Linked DNA regions of Drosophila melanogaster. The protein of the gene in region 2 interacts with the protein of the main gene of each other region in a pairwise test. Each region holds a gene or a part of one and is shown on either strand. Other genes may lie near its edges.

Region 1 (6,712 bases), on a different chromosome or scaffold from region 2:
ATTTGTCTAAGATCTATTCATTTTATTTAAAGTTTATTAAACATAAAATATTATTAGTGTTTTATTTGTGTGAATTCTTTTTCTTTGTTTATTTTCTTCTTTATTAAATTAAATCAAGTATTGACTTAAGTTTAATATGGGGCAATAACTTGTATGTATTTACTTAAATCGTTCAATGCGAACTTGTTTTGGTAAATCAGTTTTTCATAACAGTGCGCCACCTTGAAAACAGACCACAAACGCAGGCGTTAGGCGTTTCAGTATTCTTGAAAGTACAAGCAGCGTGCACACTGCACCACCAATCGCCGCCAACTTCACTGGCTTCTCTTCACTTTTTTAAAGAACGTGGAGCGAACATCACCGCATTGGAAACGATTAAAAAAATATATATAAAAATGTAAGTATTATAGATATGATAGGCGACCGGTGAGTGCAGCGATTATAACTGCAAATCGAGTTCTACTGGCTTGTTTGCAGAACTCAATGTTGCAAGATTAATTTGTGATGCGCAGGGAAATGCACTTCACCGATTGCAATTCAAATTGCAGTCACGTGGTCGAGATTCCATTGCAGTCTCAACAAATTAAAAATTAAAAAAGAACGTTAGCTAAACGATGCGTTTGCTTATATTGCAGGTGAATCTGTGATTACTAGGCGCTGCGTTAAAGCGCTGGCATTTGTGAATTGGTAAGTTTCATCATTGTATTTATTTATATTTTTGTTAAATAATATTAATATTTTCATGCGAGCATGAGTCGCTGGTGTAAAGAAACTACTACTTTAGCTAGTGCTTTTTACTTGCTCGCAGAAAAACGTGCTTTGCCCAAGCATAACCCAAATTTAAAAAACCCGAGTTTGCGGTGCATATTATTTTCGTGAAGCTGACAGTTTAAACCCTCTTAACTAGCTAAGTTTAGTATTTGCGAATATGGCTAACCCAGCATTCCATTTTCAGAAACAAAATGGCCTCTTATGCTCAACACGTGTTTTCTGGCAGAGTTGGAGAGAGACAGACGGTAAGAATTCGTTCCAAATCCCAAATTAGCCCTTCTCAGTTATCTGATGATTTATAATTCTATTTTCTGACATCTCTTATGAACCGTTGTGATTCAAATCAGTTATAACTAATTCTGACACATTCGACTCTCAACTAAATATAATTTTTACTTGTGGCCGTGACTTATGAGAACTCATCTATTACTTGCAGATCGGTCTTTCGATTTGGATTCGGAATATAAATGAGGTTATCAGCGTGAAATGGTAATTATTCTCTTCATTTATGAAAACTACTTAAAATTTCGTGATGAATGACCCTATCATCATCTTTCGACTGAAAATCATTTTGATGCTATACTAGTTTTCACTGAATTTTAAACGCTTTAAAAAAACCTGTTAAAAAGATTGTTACATTTGAATAACACAAATATATTTTAATTTCAGTTCATTGCAACGTCAATATCATGTATCAAACGTGGCTCACTAACACAGTGAAAAAGGTAATAATTCGGTTTAAGATAATAAAAAAATTTAGTTTAAATTTTATGTGTAAATTGGACAATTAATTGTGTTGTGATGAATGAAACTTACACCATCTTTCGACTGAAAAATGTTATGAAGCTATACGAGTTTTTACTGAAACCCCTTCATTTTATTATTTTTGTGTTTTATAAGTTTTTTAGAAAATCGGTTGCTGCTCTTTATAACCATTTAATTTTTGTCATTTTGCAGTGTTCAAGAAAACCACCTTTGATTGTCGCGTCATATGCCCAAACAAGGATCTCTCCTTTGAAAAGGTAAATTATACTCTAGAACGAAATAATATGTAAATGATGCTTTTAAAATTTCTGACATCTCTAATGAACCGTTGTGATTCAAATTTTTCTAATATAATTAACTGATCATTTTAAAATCGCTTAAACGATTGAGTTATATTTGAATAACTACTTATTTGTATTGTTTTTGATTTTTTTTTTTTTTTTACAGATGTGAAACATGCGTAGCAAAATGAATCCGTCAATGGTTCATTTATAAATTCCAATATCTAAAAAGGTTAGTACGAAAAGAGATTCTGTTTAGCGGAAATGAAGATTTCAATGATGATCACTTAAACCATTCACAGACACCATATAAAGGTCAAGCGCTGGCAATCTTCTTCAATATTCTTTTGGAGATAGAGCGTCTTGTTTGACTGGTTATGGGCCCTGGTTAAAAACTTGGCACTGAGCTTCATAATGCATTCTAGTATTAATGAAATTAGCCTGCGAAACCAAACTTATCGTTCCTGTTGTTATCTTTTCAGGTTGGCAACCTTGGATGAACACAATTTGTATCTTGTGGAATCACGAATAAATAAAATTCATATGTGTTCTTAAAAATCGTTTTTTACTAAGTTTGCTCGCTCCCGCAATGCTAGTTCCTGGTTCTGCTTGGCAATCATTCGCTCGCCCTTCGACTTCTTGCCTATGCCCAGCTTCGGCAATCCTCTATTTAGACCCTCGAGAAGGACGCACGCCTTGCACGGCTGCTGTGAGGAAACGAAGCCACATCGGGTGCATGTGCCACGCTCGGGCTTCTTTACCGTGTCCTTGAAGCGAAGCTGTTCGCCAGAGTAGATGATGTCCATTATAACCGATGGTCGCACTTTCTCCAAATCCTTGAGAAACGCTCGAGCGTGGCCGCGATACGCATTGGGGGCGAATACGCACTCCGTTGAGAAGTAGACCAGCTTTTTGTAGTGGGCGTACATCACGATTTCTTTCTCGTAGCTGTACTTGAGGGGCTTCACTCGGGGAATGGTATCCTCGCCCCCGCCGGTGCGGATGCTCGTGCAGCGTCGCAGGCGCGCCGTGTCCCCACGGAGCACGTTCATCAAGACAGTCTCCGCAATGTCATCTGCATTGTGGCCTGTGGCTATGCTATCAACGCCCAACAGCTTGGCCCCTCTATCCAAGGCCTGTCGGCGGAAGACGCCGCAAAATGTGCAGTTGTTAGAACGGCCGATCTGGGCAACAATGCGGTCCATGGTCCAGCCGTAGAGCTCCTCGTAGGACAGGATCTTTAGTGGCATCTGGTAGTCGTCACGGTTCTGTTTCACTGTCTCCAAACTGTCATCCCGATATCCAGTGATGCCTTCGTCTATGGAAAGGAGCACCAGTTCCAGACCGTAGTTATGGCGTTCGTTTAGCAGTTTTAATCTGTAGAACACTTGGATTAGAGAGGTGCGATGGGGGGAATGGTACGACATACACGTGCGCTAGGACCGTGGAGTCCTTGCCTCCACTGGCCGCTACGGCCACCTTCTCGCCACGTCGGAACAAGTTGCTGGAGGAGATTGTGTGATGGATCTCTGCCTCGAAGGCTGCGAAGAAGCACTCCTTGCACAGGGCATCGCCGGTTTTGGGTCGCTTTGGGCAAACAACATTATTAGGATTTATTAGGGGCTGTTTAACTTATGAACTACCTTCAAAGCAGCGCGATTTCCGCACTGCGACTTGCAGATAATGTGCATTTTTACTGACACTTAATTAGCACACAATTTAATTAACAGCTGTTGCACCTTATGCAGCAGTGACCAACACTGGCGTTATACAAAATCAAGTTACCCATCACTGTTTGTTTGGAATAGATGAAAAATAAATATAAATATTTACAATGAGCGCCGTAAAAGAGTCAAAAGCCTTGATCAAGGACATTCGGGAGACCATAAAGCTGGGCAAGCATGCGGAAGCCATACCCAAGTGCCAAGTGACGTCACCATAGAACATACCAGTTATGCATCATCCTAATGCCTTTATTGCAGCGCCTACTTAAATCGGAGCCTGAAAATGCTATGGGCTACTTGTTGCTTGGGGCAGCCTACCAGAATATCGACAAGGCGGAGGCGGCCAAAAACCTGAGGCAGTGCATCAAGTGCACGGATGGTCCGGCCCCTGCCGCGCTCCTCGGACTCGCCAACTGCGCGCCCAGCAACGAACTGCCTGAAATCTATGATCAGTTGGCTGACCTGCAACCGTAAGAATCTGCTCGTGACTCCCTGGTCATTATCCATACTCCATACTATCCATACTAGACTTTGTCATAAAAGGACTACTAAAGTGATCTTTACTTTACATTTTTAGAGAACAATCCTTGAACTATTGGGAAAAGCTTTTCAACTTGGCCTCTGACTCAAATGTGGCTCCTTTCTGCTTCACTGTACTTAAAAAGAGAGTGCAGGACACAGAGAATGGAAATTTTACGAAAATTCAGGAGTATCTGGGACGCATTTGGGTTTCAAACGACTTTGAAATTGCGCCCGAAGATACTCAGCTTGTAAGTTACCGTATAATTATTAATTTATTTATTAAAAATAATTTTGAAATATAAAGAATTATAATTGATATGAGCACTTTCATAGCTCAATTTCTTATTATAAATTAGTGCGTAATGACTAATTACACTTTTTTCAGTACAAAACGACTATGGAAGCTCTGCTGCAGAACTCTGAACCCAGTGCAAGGAGCGTGGTTTACAAGCGATACCTGAAGTGGCTTTACAAGAAGCAGGATTATGAGACTTGCGTGCGGCACGCCTGCAATATGACCGAGTCGCATCCCAAAGATGTCTATGGCTTCGAGTGGATATGCAAGACCTACTGCGAACACCACGAGCAATCCGAAATAGTTAGTTGGCAACAGGAGCTGAGGCATCCCATTCAGGTGTACGCTGAGCAGCTTCTGGAGCTTAATCCTAACTCTAACCTTGCTTTGTTGGTTAAAGCCCTGGATCTTTTCGCTGAGGGGCAGGTCGTCGCATCCAGGCAGTTGGCATTGCAGGCACAGAAAAGTCAACCTGCGTACAAAGTAACGCTGGAATTGCTGGCTCGTATCCACATGGAGCTGGGCGCATACAAGTTGGCCCTTCAGCTGTGGCAGGAAATTGGACAGGAAAACGACGCTTATGCTCTATGCTTATCGCACGAAAAAGGCGTTTCAAAACTAAGAGAAGCTGTCACGATTTTACAAACGCTTGAAAACTCCGAGGGCAATATTAAGTCTTTGGCTCGGTGAGCTTTTTATCAATAGTATTTGGTTTAATAAAATGCATAACAAGAGTTTATTTAATTTGCAGCTGCTACTTCAAGCTGGGCGAACTGCACTTGCTGAAAGATTTGCCCTTGGATGATCTGACCAAAGCAGAATTTGTTTTGTAAGTAGGAAATCCAAAAATTAAAGAAGTCAATCCACCTTTTCCATCTGCTATACTAGATCTCCATCTGAAGCTCTTCAAGAAATTGCTGACTGTAAGACTTTTGAGGCATACCTACTTTGTGGCAAGCTGCATATGGCGCTGAAAAACTATTCAGACGCTCTAAATTATGTGTTAAAGGCCACTCGACTGCGCCCACACTTTGCCGAGTGCTTTGACTATCTGGGCAAGCTGTACCCGCTGGCCACTGGGGACTTCTCACGAGCCCGCAAGTGCTACGAGAAGTGCATAAGCCTTAATCCCCTCGCTGAGGAAGCTGTGGATGCCTTGAGCTTTATCTACCAAGAACAGGGCGAGGAGGAACTGAACGAGACCCTGCTGCTGAACACATTGAGCCATTTGGGTAGCAATGAATCAATTCGATTGCAGTACAAGCTGGGTCTGCATTTCTCGCATGTGAAGAAGTGGGACAGTGTAAGCAATTGATTATCATTGATGAATCCGATTTAACACTTTTATTGCAGGCAATACAATGCTTTCGCATTGCCATTAAGAATGACTCCCGCTGCATTAGCTACTGGGAGTCATTGGGTGATGCTTATGCGGGACGCGGCTCGTACAACTCGGCTATTCGAGTCTTTCAAAAGATCCTTGAACTATCTCCGGAGAATAATTATGCCCTGCTTCAAATAGCTTCAGTGAAAACGGTGCCACATTCCAAAATTAACAAGAAAACATAAATAATTTTTACCCCATTTAATAGACAATACGCATGTACACTGAATCTATTGAAGATTACGATACGCTGCTACAACGTAATCCTACTTACCTGCCCGGACTTCGAGGTGCTGCTGAAGCGCATATTGGCATTGCGAATAGTTTGAAGAGCCAGAACTTGTACGGAAGATCCAAAGCGCATTTCCAATTGGCTCTGGAACACCTTCAAAGGTATTAGCTCAGCCAGCGATTTCGTGTATCTGTTGATAAGTTTTATCCATTCCTTACAGCGCCTTCCTTCAGCGTGAAGCTCAAGGAATGGTTTGGCTATGGCGCCTCTCAGCTAACATTTTCGTTCAGACAGCCCAGTTGCCGCATTCGTTGGCCAACTTGGATGTGGCTGGAAACCTAGCCAAGCGCGAAGAACCCATTGCATATCTTTCACGCAAGGATCTTCTACAGCTAGCTCAGCGCTTCTACTTGTGCGCCTTAAAACTGAAGCAGAATACGTACCTGTGGTACGAGCTATCGTTAGCCAGCTACTACAGTGCCATTCTCATACCCGAGGATGCAAACGGCCACTTAGAGACGGCGACTAAGGCGTGCAAAATGGCCATTAAGGAGTGTAGCAACAGATGGCAAAATTGGAATCTTCTCGGAGTTATCAATATGAACTCCGAAAATGAGAACTTGCCATTGGCACAGCACTGTTTTATTCAGGCTGTAGTGCTGGAAAAAAAGTGCTACACAGCGTGGACCAATCTCGGAGTTCTCTATATTAAACTGAATGAAGTCCGATTGGCCAACG
Region 2 (10,674 bases):
CGCTCGTGTGGTGCGTCCCGGCACCGCCGAAGTTATTTACAAGTCACTGGAACATGCCGAGAAGGCCGTAGATACCTATCACCATCGTCAGTTCGATGACCAGCCCATGCACTGTGTGCTGGTTAATCCGCACTCCTCCCGTCGCTCGGTGCACAAAGCCAGGTGAGTGATATGCTTTAAAGATACCAAGCAGTATTGTTCAACGTTCTCGGCCGTAGCTCTCGCACCGTGACCACAAACTCGTCTGGCGTGGAGGTGGACATCGATGCACTTCACTCGGTACTCTTCAGGGTCCGCTAGGAAGCGAGAGGCAGAGCCCGGGAACTAAAGCAACTAGATAATTTTTCTCATCATTTTCATCATCTCCGTAGTATTTAGTTCAACAACGTAGTCCATTTTCATTTCGCGCTTATTAAATTCGAATCGATCCATCCAGCGTATGTTCAGAAAACCAGACTAGTTTAAACGAGAACATTTCTTTACTATAGAAACTTGAATTTTCTAATGCAAATTCTGGCATATCTGTCCACTTCAGTATTCAGTATTAGGTGGCTAAAATTTTTGTCTTATCATCAAAGTAATTCATCAGTCCCACTATATACACAATTAAATGTATGGCATTGATAATGATTTTGCATCCGCTCTTGAAATTTGGTATTGAAAACTTTTCTTTTACCTTTTTTGAATGACACTATGGATTATGATTATACGATAAATAAGAGGACCCAGTAATGTTACAATTGCTTGTATAATATTTCATAAAATGTACAGTTTTTAAATTTCATAAAATTAATTCATAATAATTAAAGAGAAAGGAGCAGTTTGGTAAGCAGTTAAGAGTTGCAAAAAAAAATGTATATGTAAAGTAACTTGGAGGCCGCTTAGTTATCCCGGATGCCCGTTCCGTAGTTGGCGCCGCCGGCACGGTTCAGTGCTTCACGGAAGAGCTCAATGTCCAGCTCGGCCTCCACTCCCGCCTGAAGTTCCACGGCAAAATTCTGCAAGAGATTAGAGATGAGAGGATCTATTTCTGCCTCTGGGCTCTGGCATCTCTAGCTATTGGCTACTCACGTTGAGGACATCCTTGATCAGCGCCTTGTCCGTGGACATCTTGGCCCTCTGGATGACGCCCACCTCCTGCCCGATCCACGTCAGGAAGATGAACTTTTTGCGCTTGGACATCTCGTCACCCATCTGGATGCGTATGTAGCCAAAGGCGCGCTCCGAGTCGCCGAACTGCTGTCGGAATTCCTCAAAGCACTGACCGCGCGCATGTACAATAATCTGGGCGCCATCGAACTTGAATACCGCCCACTCGGTGTCTGTCAGATCGGAGCGTACATCCTCGTAGGCCTCGCGAATCGAGTCCTTCTCCAGCGACGTGGCCAGCGGCATCTGCGAAAGAGCAAGGGGGAAGAGGATTATAAGCAAGCGAAGAGGGGAACTATAAGCAACTTTCAGACGGAAGTATATATCTTAATCATGTATTCCAAGTCCGAATCGTTTCGCCAAGGCGAATGGATCATCCGCTTTGGCCCATCGATAGCGAAATGTATTGTATGTACTCAATGCGGGGCCAAGTACTCTTGACGGCGCCATCTATGAGTCAGATTTAAGCGGTGCTTTCGCTTTCGATGGTTATATTACATTCAATTCGACTTGTTTCCGTGTCAGGCAACCTCAAGTCGGCCAGGGGAATAGGCACGCCATTGCATCGCCCACTTGCATTACGTTCGGGCAGATTCACGGAAAGCAATTTGTTGCCGCTTTAGTGCTTTATAAACATAATACCAGCGGGCCAGCGGAAAAGTAGCCAATGTAAATATGTACATATTTCGAAGAAAAAATAAAGGCTTTATTATGATAACATACTGGAACATACCCGCATATTAAATTACAGCATTTTTGATAATGATATCAGCACACACATATGAGGGTTCAGGGTTCTGGTTCAAAGCCCAAAAATATGATGATTTAAAAATATCGATATGTAAATGAATTTAAATTGCTTGATAAGTTCGAATGGCTTGATAGTGAAATGTAAAAAACCAAGTCTCAATACGATTTTGGTTAGCTAAAGATTAATTTTAATTGTGGTTTATTAAGTGATCTTTGGGGTAGCATTATGTGCACAAAGTTAGGCTCAGCTTAGATGCGTGGAAAGCGTGTAAAGCGATTGGATCGATGGTTTTTGATACGAGTATACTTGTAGTACGGATCGGAAAACTACCCTTTCACGTAGTGCACTCTTATTGTCTTAAGCGGATCGCCGCATTAAAATCAATTTACGCGTGACAATTTTCAATCAGCAGCCGGCGGAAAGCAGGTCAGAGATTTGATAAGTGACTTGGGGTCGTCGGAACGGGATGACAACAAACAAAGAGAGCCAAATGACTGTTGGTCCAACTGCCAGCCAAATGGATCGGGCTTGGAGTCAGGAACTAGACTCGCGTATAAATAGACATTGAAGCTGGGCCAGAGATACGGATACAGATACAGCTAAAGGTACAAATACAGATACAGATACAGATACCGATGGGAAGATGGAGATAGAGATCGCTCTATAATGCGTTCAATGACCGGAGAGTACGGCGTCTGGTGAGAAAAATCAATTAGAAAAGCGACGACTGTCGAAAATATCAAAAGCCAAACAATTAAACCCAAAGATGTTTCGGGCGACGACTTTCACAACGCGACGCAGTAAGAACTTGGAGTTTGTATGTGTATTCTATGCGTCGCATAGAACTATGGAACAGCTCTGAATCTCCCGTTTCGTGGCTCTGAATTAATTAGTCGGAAGGCAGGCAAAAAAAAAAAAAAAATGAACAAGATGCGGACGCAAACTGTGCCAAAAATGAGCGGACGACTAAGAAACCGTTGCAGCGAATGACCCACCGAAAATACCCGACAAATTTTCCCCCAAACAAGCAAGATAGCAGATACAAATGTATATAGAAATGTCGGTGCTCCTCCTGCAACCTCCACGGGTACGTGAGCCAAATTGTTGGCTAAAATTAGCTGAAATTAAGTTTCCAGCCGATAAGCCCGATAACGTTCGCACATATGTATCTATATACATATATATGCCTATATGGCCATATCTCCACTTCTGACACAATGACAACACGACAAATTAGATCACTCCAGTTGGGCTGGGAGTGCACCCAAAGATCGGATAGGATAGGCTCGGATAGCCCCACCTCCGGAATTGACGCAATGCCATCTATTTGCTCTGATAAGAAAACTGTCGCAAAACTAAAGGAACTGTAATTGATTTATTACCGAAAGTTCTTGGGATCGCCCGGGCAATTAGTGCCGGTTAAATCTGTAGGGCTCGCCTGTTCCAATTTTACACGCCATAAAAATTCAGCAGAGATTGACGCTTAGTCATAGGAATCGAGATATTGCGCTGGCTTCAGGAAATATATCGAAAAAAGGGAAACTACAATAGTTTCAAGGAAAGTCAGAGTGCGTCATCCTCGAAAGATTCGCATAGAAAAGCGAGCGACAGTAGCCAGTCCATAATTGATACGGTTAATCGTGATTCGTGATTCTCGATGGAAAACAGTGAGCAACAGTCTGATAAGTAACCTTGTAGCGATGACAGGAAATGTATATGCATACATATTTTCAGTTTCACTTGGAACCACCAATAATCCTAACAGATCCATTGAGTTAGCCACCTTTCCAGCAGGAAAGCCATCTGCCAAACAATTCGCGCTACTCAAATGGCTTGCGGCCATATCCGATAGATAGATGTACATATGTATTATATCTATCTATATATGTGGATTCGTACGTAATGAGCCATATATGCCCATGTGTGCATTCATACAGCACGCTGCATTGCCAGCTAGATATATGTAGCTATAGTATCTATAGCTATATCCATCGATATCTGGCAATGAGCGGGCCGGCGATGCATCAAACGCGGCTATAACTGCAGCTAAACGTAACCAAGCATAATACAGCAAATAACAATTTGCTAACGAAAACGAAACCGAATCCCCAGCGCCAGGTGCTTGAAACTGACTTGCTGCGTAACTCAACGCTGATACCCTTGTGAAAGGTATCGCAGTTGTAGAAATTCTTGGGATACCTTTAAAATAAACATCTATGAGAACGTATTGTATGTAAATAATCCTGTCCTTAAGTAAACAGCAAGCTATCGAGAACTACAGAGTGAATGGTATTATATCCGTATCTTTTATCATTCGATGCCTGGTATACACCACTGACATTATTTCAAGTTAACTCTGTTTGTATAGTTTATATATCTAATTGTATGGTATATATAGATCGTGAGCTCATAAAGCAAATACTGAAGTATGAACAATAAAAGTTAGAGTATTCACTTTCGATTGCACTAAACATTTTGTATTTTATTCGCTTTTTCATTGTGTATGTACAAGTGGACCGAAAGTGTTTTATGTTGACTAATGAATTTCAGATAAGAAACGAAAAAAATTCCAAATAATACGATCGGGCATGAATAAAGGAAAATAAAGGAGAGGCGATGCAGATATATATATGACATACATGCACAGTGAAAACACAATATGCGGAATATTCGTGGGTCGATGCAACTGACTCATTGGCAAGGCAATTGGAAAATAACCAATAAATTGCAGCGAATCGGTTATTAACCGCTTCGCCTTGGCCAGACTAAGTCCAAAAAAAAAAAAAAAATAAATAAAACAAGCAAAAAAAATAATTGGCAATGTTGTGACAAATTGCCAGTTGCCGCAGCGCAGTCGCAATGACGTACTTGCTCCGGGTCTGGGACCGCCGATATGTCAATGTTCTTTTTCCCCCACTTTACTTTACTTTATTTCATTTCATTTTATTTCTTATTTTTATTCCGCTGCCGTCGATGTTTCATTCGCCACGCACACTAGCACAAACAGTGCAGGAAACAAAGGAGCAAACTGTTTTGTGGCTGCTCACGCCCCAGACGCCCGGAGTCGGGGGATCTGGGATGCCGGATGGGGTTGTGGATGGTCATTCTGATGGGTACGGGGTATCGGTATGGGGTACGGGTTGCGGGTTGCGGGAAACGAGGTTCCGAGTGCGTGATTCATGCCGCCTGAAGGTGACGACGACGACGACGACTCGGGGAGTGGATGACCAAAATTGGCGCGTCAGGAAGCGATTCCCGAGCATTGAAAGGGTGTGGAATGGCCGATATCCCCATCGATTCCATACACTTTTATTACTCACTTGTTTGCCTGCACTTGGAAACCTCGAAATTGTAATATTTATTGGCCTGCACAATCGTTTTGTTTGATGCCATAGAGATTAGGTTGGCGAACAAGTGCTGTGCACCAAAAGTCACATGAAACGCAGATCTTGCGATCAGCTGAACGAAGTACCCGCAAGATAATGGCACTGCAACCATTTACCCAGCTCCCAGTGCCCGCTAAATACCGTAATCTGGAAAGCTATACGTGTTTGCCAGGGCGACGGACTGCGCCGCATTAACCGCAGCGTCTTCGTTGGGTATCGATGGTGTCTCGAGATCCCAGCGAGCAAGTGCAGCAGCGGCAGCCGCACTGCAAACGCACTTGAACTTGATATGCATCGCTGCGAAGGCGTCGCATTCGGATTCAGTTTTTGGGTTCGGATTCGGATTCGGAGTCGCCCCCACAATCTGCATCCGCCCCCGCAATCGCATCCAGCCAAGATGATATTGCCCCTCGGTACTCAGTCCCTGTTCCTGCCCTGCCCTGCCCCTTTCCGCCCAGCCAGCCAGAGCCATAAAACCCAGCTGCCACCCCGCCTCCTGGACCTCTGGCCCTCTGGGGCCGGTTCTTGTGGAGCGGAGTCGCCGGCGAGCCAATGTCAGAGTTATTTACAGACACTCACGCATGCCCAGCGATATACACACACGCCGCATGGGCCTGGGCTTCAGCAACTCCAGTGTGTACACCGGAAGAAAACTGTATTTTGTATCCTTAAAGCCAATGTCCGAGTTCAATACCACTGTTGGTAATTGAATTTTTATATTATTGTATATTTCTACTAATCCCCAATATTTTTCAATATATATTTGAACAATTTAAAGTTCGAAAATCGATCATTATTCTCAAGAGAATATTATTTTTTTTTAGCATTCTTTAATTGTAGGTATTTATAATGTAGTGGTGATTAGAACTTTCTTCCATTTTAAGGTTGTGCCATCGGATTGGCTCAGCCTTAAAAGTGATCAGCATACTGAGTACCCGTTTTCTTTCGGTGCATTTATAAGATATCTCTCCGGCCTGCTCTCTGACTCTCTGGACTTCTGGCTGCCCCATCCAATCTTTTATAATTCTTAATTTTCGGTCGTCCCCTGCCGGTATACACACACATTTCATGGTCCCTGCCCGGAGCAGGACTACCGACTCCATCCATCTCCAACTCCAACTCGAACTCCATGTGTGCCCAACCCACTCCCCACTACTCACCCTTCTCGGCTTGCTCTCCACCAATTGCTCGACCTCGATGCCGTCCGACATGCTGGTGCGCTGTGTTCTGGATGTGGATGTAGATATGGTTTTCAATGCGCAGCTGGGATGCTGGTGCTCTTGGGAACAGCTTCCTGGGATCGCGGGTGAGTCTCGAAGGGGAACGGAGTGCTGGTCTGGCGGGAAGAGTTGACCGTTTGCAAGGTGACAAAGTGGCAGAGTGGCAGAGTGGCACAATGACAACGAAAACAAAAATACACAGCGCCAGAAAAACAACAAAAAAACACAATCCAAGCGCACAAAGAGCGATGGACAGAACCAGCACAGTTCCAGATATCCAGATATTAGAGCAGCCGCTGAACTTCGTCCGACCACCACGAGTTGTATCTCACGAATGCGGCGTTGCCGGCGTCTGCAACTCCGAATGAAGTGCCGACCGTCGACCGCCGAAGTCGGCGGCGCAGTCGCCGTGCGTGCGAGCGAGATGCACTGGCCAGAAGGCCCCACGGCAGCTGTTAGACAAACAGCAGGTGCGACAGAGACGGCTGCGTGGGGAGCAAGCGAGAGCGGGCGAACTGCGACGATGTCGCCGCATTTGGCTTTATTTTCATTTTCATTTTCAGTGCAGGCATTTCGGAAACACCAAAAAAAGCCAGATGTTGGCTAGTGTTTTATGCGTACACCGCGAGAAAATTTAGTCTGCTAGATGCTCCTATAATGATAATGAAGTTTGCATAAATACTTCGTGTTAGCCATCTTAACTGGCAATGGCCACAGGAAACCATAACATCGTGCGCAAATATATGTATAGTCAGATGGATAGAAAAACAACGACTGTACTCCTCCATCTAAACTATGTACGTCCTTAAGGATCAGCTGAATCCCTTGAAGAAGATCTCTTCCTCGATGGTGAAGAGGCTTACGAGAAGTGAATTCTATCTATTCTATCAAAACATGAATTTATTGGATTTATTGGGTTTCTTCGGCAACACGGATTCCTGGCATAGTCATATCCAGTATCCCAGTGGAGTCACGTCTTACCACTGCAGCTCCCGGTCATGTTATTTTCCTTCATCGAGGGCTATTCCATTCACTTCCTGCGCCGAAAAAACGAGCAACAATTGCAAGCGAAAAGGTAGTCTTTGAAATAGATGCTATAGGTGCTAATCGGAATCGCTATATATCCAAAACTATGTCTAGATCAGCACTGATCCCTGCCAGCTTGTCGGCTGGGAATGCGATCCGTGGAATTAGCGCAGAACATTTGTGCAAACACATAACGAGCCGAGATTGTATTCTCTGGCACTCAAGTGCCGTAGGAATGCGGCTGATTTGATGATTAGCGCGGTGCGTGGGCCGAACAGCAGCTGCTCCGCCGCTGCAGACGCCATGGATGATGCAGTGCACCGTATTAATTTGTCCCAATCGGCAGGGAACGTCCTCCGCGCAACATGGGAGTTGCCCGGCAACAGGGCTGCCTGGCAGCATGCTGCTAGCCACAAGTTGCCGTGGTGAGTTTGCGCCATTCGGCATCGCCCACGCAACATGTTGCGGCAGCTAGCCCAGCGGAGCGGAGGCGTCGTCCTCGTCCGCCAGTCGTCAGTTGCCCACGACGCGTTACCCGCAACGGTAGCAGGCGAGCCCTCTCCTGGCAGCCAAAGCCGCCAGCTCGTGTGCTCGGATACCCCCGAGTTCCATATCGCAATCTTTGCCAGCCTGCGCGCAAGCGTCGCCGTTTCAATAGCAATTGAGTGAAATTTTATTTTATTTTTTTCGGTGACCCGCAACGGGACATGTCAGGCGGTGGTGGCCAGTGATTGCCACGAATCACCCGGTCATCCGGGATGTTCAACTACGAGGAGGGGGATGCCGACCAGGCGGCCATGGCTGCAGCGGCTGCCTATAGGGCACTGCTCGACTACTATGCCAATGCGCCAAGTGCGGCGGGTCACATAGTGTCGCTCAACGTGGCACCCTACAATGGAACTGGAAACGGAGGCACTGTCTCCTTGGCGGGCAATGCGACAAGCAGCTATGGCGATGATGATAGGGATGGCTATATGGACACCGAGCCCAGTGACCTGGTCACCGAACTGGCCTTCTCCCTGGGCACCAGTTCAAGTCCAAGTCCCAGTTCCACACCCGCTTCCAGCTCCAGTACTTCCACTGGCATGCCCGTCTGGCTGATACCCAGCTATAGCATGATTCTGCTGTTCGCCGTGCTGGGCAACCTGCTGGTCATCTCGACGCTGGTGCAGAATCGCCGGATGCGTACCATAACCAACGTGTTCCTGCTCAACCTGGCCATATCGGACATGCTGCTGGGCGTGCTCTGCATGCCCGTCACCCTGGTGGGCACCCTGCTGCGAAACTTCATCTTTGGCGAGTTCCTCTGCAAGCTCTTTCAGTTCTCGCAAGGTGAGTGGAGTCCTCCCGGTAAACGGCAACCACTAAATGCCTAAACGCCTGGCTTATTTAACGACCTGTCCCACTGGAGGGAGCTGCGTTCTCGGACATTATAAGTAACCGCCTAATATTAGCTTAGCTGTCCCAATTCCCCCATCTTCTGTAGCCTTCAATTAGTTGGAATTACAAATACATAAGTTGAGGGCCCTATTTATGGCGCGTGTGAGTTGGGGGCGACCGGGATTCGTAGTTTCCTTGGTTCCTAGGTTCTTGGGCTCTTGGGTTCCTGCGCATTTAGGTTCGTTGGTGGGGCATTAAAATAATTTTTTACGATTATCGTCGCATGTGGATCGTTTTATTGGCCCTGTCTTGCGGGGAAGAGCTCATAAAGCGCGCAAAACAACAAGTTGTGTAAAAGGTGGGCATACAATGTCCTGGTTTCCATCTCCACCTAGTTACCCCTTTATTTCCATACCACCATACCCATACCCACATCCGTATCCATATCCCTGTGCGTGTCGCATGTTCTCAGAAAACTGAAAATGGAAATGAGAATCATAATGTGGGCCCATGTTATTGACAGAGTGTGCGCCATTGTCTGTGGACAGGATACGGATAGCGTGCATCCTTAAGAGTCGCACGGCCATCGCATAACTTCAAATCAAACGCGTTGGCAGGACAACAGTTGGACGTGATTAAAAAGACATTTGTTGGCGCTACTTGGGGGGCCACGGACAATTAAATGGGCTTTCGAAAGAAAAACTGGCAGCTCGTTCTTTATGTTTATGTGAAACGGCGCATTAGCAACGGCGTTGTAAATACATATTTCACGATTTCGGTAATTCGCTTGCCCATTGCGTCATGTGGCAGGTTGCCCCAGTAATCCCGGCCACCATCCAGTTCGTCACTGGGTGAGCTGCTGGCTTGGCCCCGACCCTAATGGCATGCCGTGGATCTCGGATGGCAAAGGGAGGAGCCACTATGCCATGTCGGGCAAAAGGCAAACGCAAATGCGTAGCATACTTGGCTGCGCAATTTAAAGCGGCTGTGTGCAATATCGCTGCATACTTTTGGCCCCCATCCACACCCCACAACCCCGCACAACAGACGAACGGGCGAATTAAATAACCATTTCAATTGGCACAGCACGGGGGCGTGTGCTGGAGCGGGAGCGATGGGGGCGGAACGGGATGTAGCTGCTCCTGGTGGCAGGTACAAGCGTCACGCACCTGGGGAACATGCAACATGCAGCGCAGCATACACATGTCACACGGCTCACGAATGGGTATGGGCATGGGAATGTGAATGTGTATGTGGATGAGGATGAGGAGGTGGACGTGGGGTTCTGCAATTACAGGCGGAACAGCACAAACGCGGTCGCAGTTCCACCTCCTAATGGTGCCAGTTGGGAAGTGCCCTTGGGAAATGTGAAACATGGGCACTAAAAAAAAAAACAACAAACAAGCGGGCCGAAGTCATTGGATCGCAAACGGTGTGCGGGATGGTGGGTGCGTCCACCGGGCGAGGGACTCTGGCCCAAAGCAAGGCGATGGCAAACTCAAGGTGGTGGTGGTGGTCAAGAGGCGTCCTCTTAGCTTCGGGCTCTTGATAGCTTCTATTTTCGTACGTAAACGTTTGCTTAAGCAATTCTATAAATGTCGTGCATGCTTGCATTTTCATCGTGACGTTTTCAAGATTCGTTATACTAAAACTGAAATTAAGTTGAAAACAAACATCAAAGTGTTGCACGCCTGTCAATTATGGTTTAAATAAACTCAAGATAAATATTGGCTTAACAAATAAATAGAACGTGTTATTTAAA

What was found.
Region 1: the proteins of CG6891 (region 2) and Ctu1 interact in a two-hybrid assay, tested with the Drosophila melanogaster proteins (one large-scale study listed by BioGRID).

The regions. Positions count from the first base shown.
Region 1 is NT_033778.4:9,094,943-9,101,654, forward strand, and holds Ctu1 (cytosolic thiouridylase subunit 1), read right to left. Parts: upstream 3,584-6,712; 5' UTR 3,509-3,583; coding exon 3,461-3,508; intron 3,405-3,460; coding exon 3,247-3,404; intron 3,195-3,246; coding exon 2,369-3,194; 3' UTR 1,989-2,368; downstream 1-1,988. Other genes in the region: CG8777 (uncharacterized protein), read left to right, coding at 3,652-3,744, 3,800-4,011, 4,119-4,311, 4,449-5,044, 5,110-5,187, 5,247-5,661, 5,712-5,894, 5,951-6,135 and 1 more. UniProt on the Drosophila melanogaster protein: Plays a central role in 2-thiolation of mcm(5)S(2)U at tRNA wobble positions of tRNA(Lys), tRNA(Glu) and tRNA(Gln). Directly binds tRNAs and probably acts by catalyzing adenylation of tRNAs, an intermediate required for 2-thiolation.
Region 2 is NC_004354.4:18,771,402-18,782,075, reverse strand, and holds CG6891 (uncharacterized protein), read right to left. Parts: upstream 6,849-10,674; 5' UTR 6,498-6,848; coding exon 6,447-6,497; intron 5,579-6,446; exon of another isoform or gene 5,221-5,578; intron 2,444-5,220; exon of another isoform or gene 2,231-2,443; intron 1,396-2,230; coding exon 1,072-1,395; intron 999-1,071; coding exon 882-998; 3' UTR 731-881; downstream 1-730. Other genes in the region: CG18259 (uncharacterized protein), read left to right, coding at 1-162, 219-300; CCKLR-17D3 (Cholecystokinin-like receptor at 17D3), read left to right, coding at 8,291-8,864.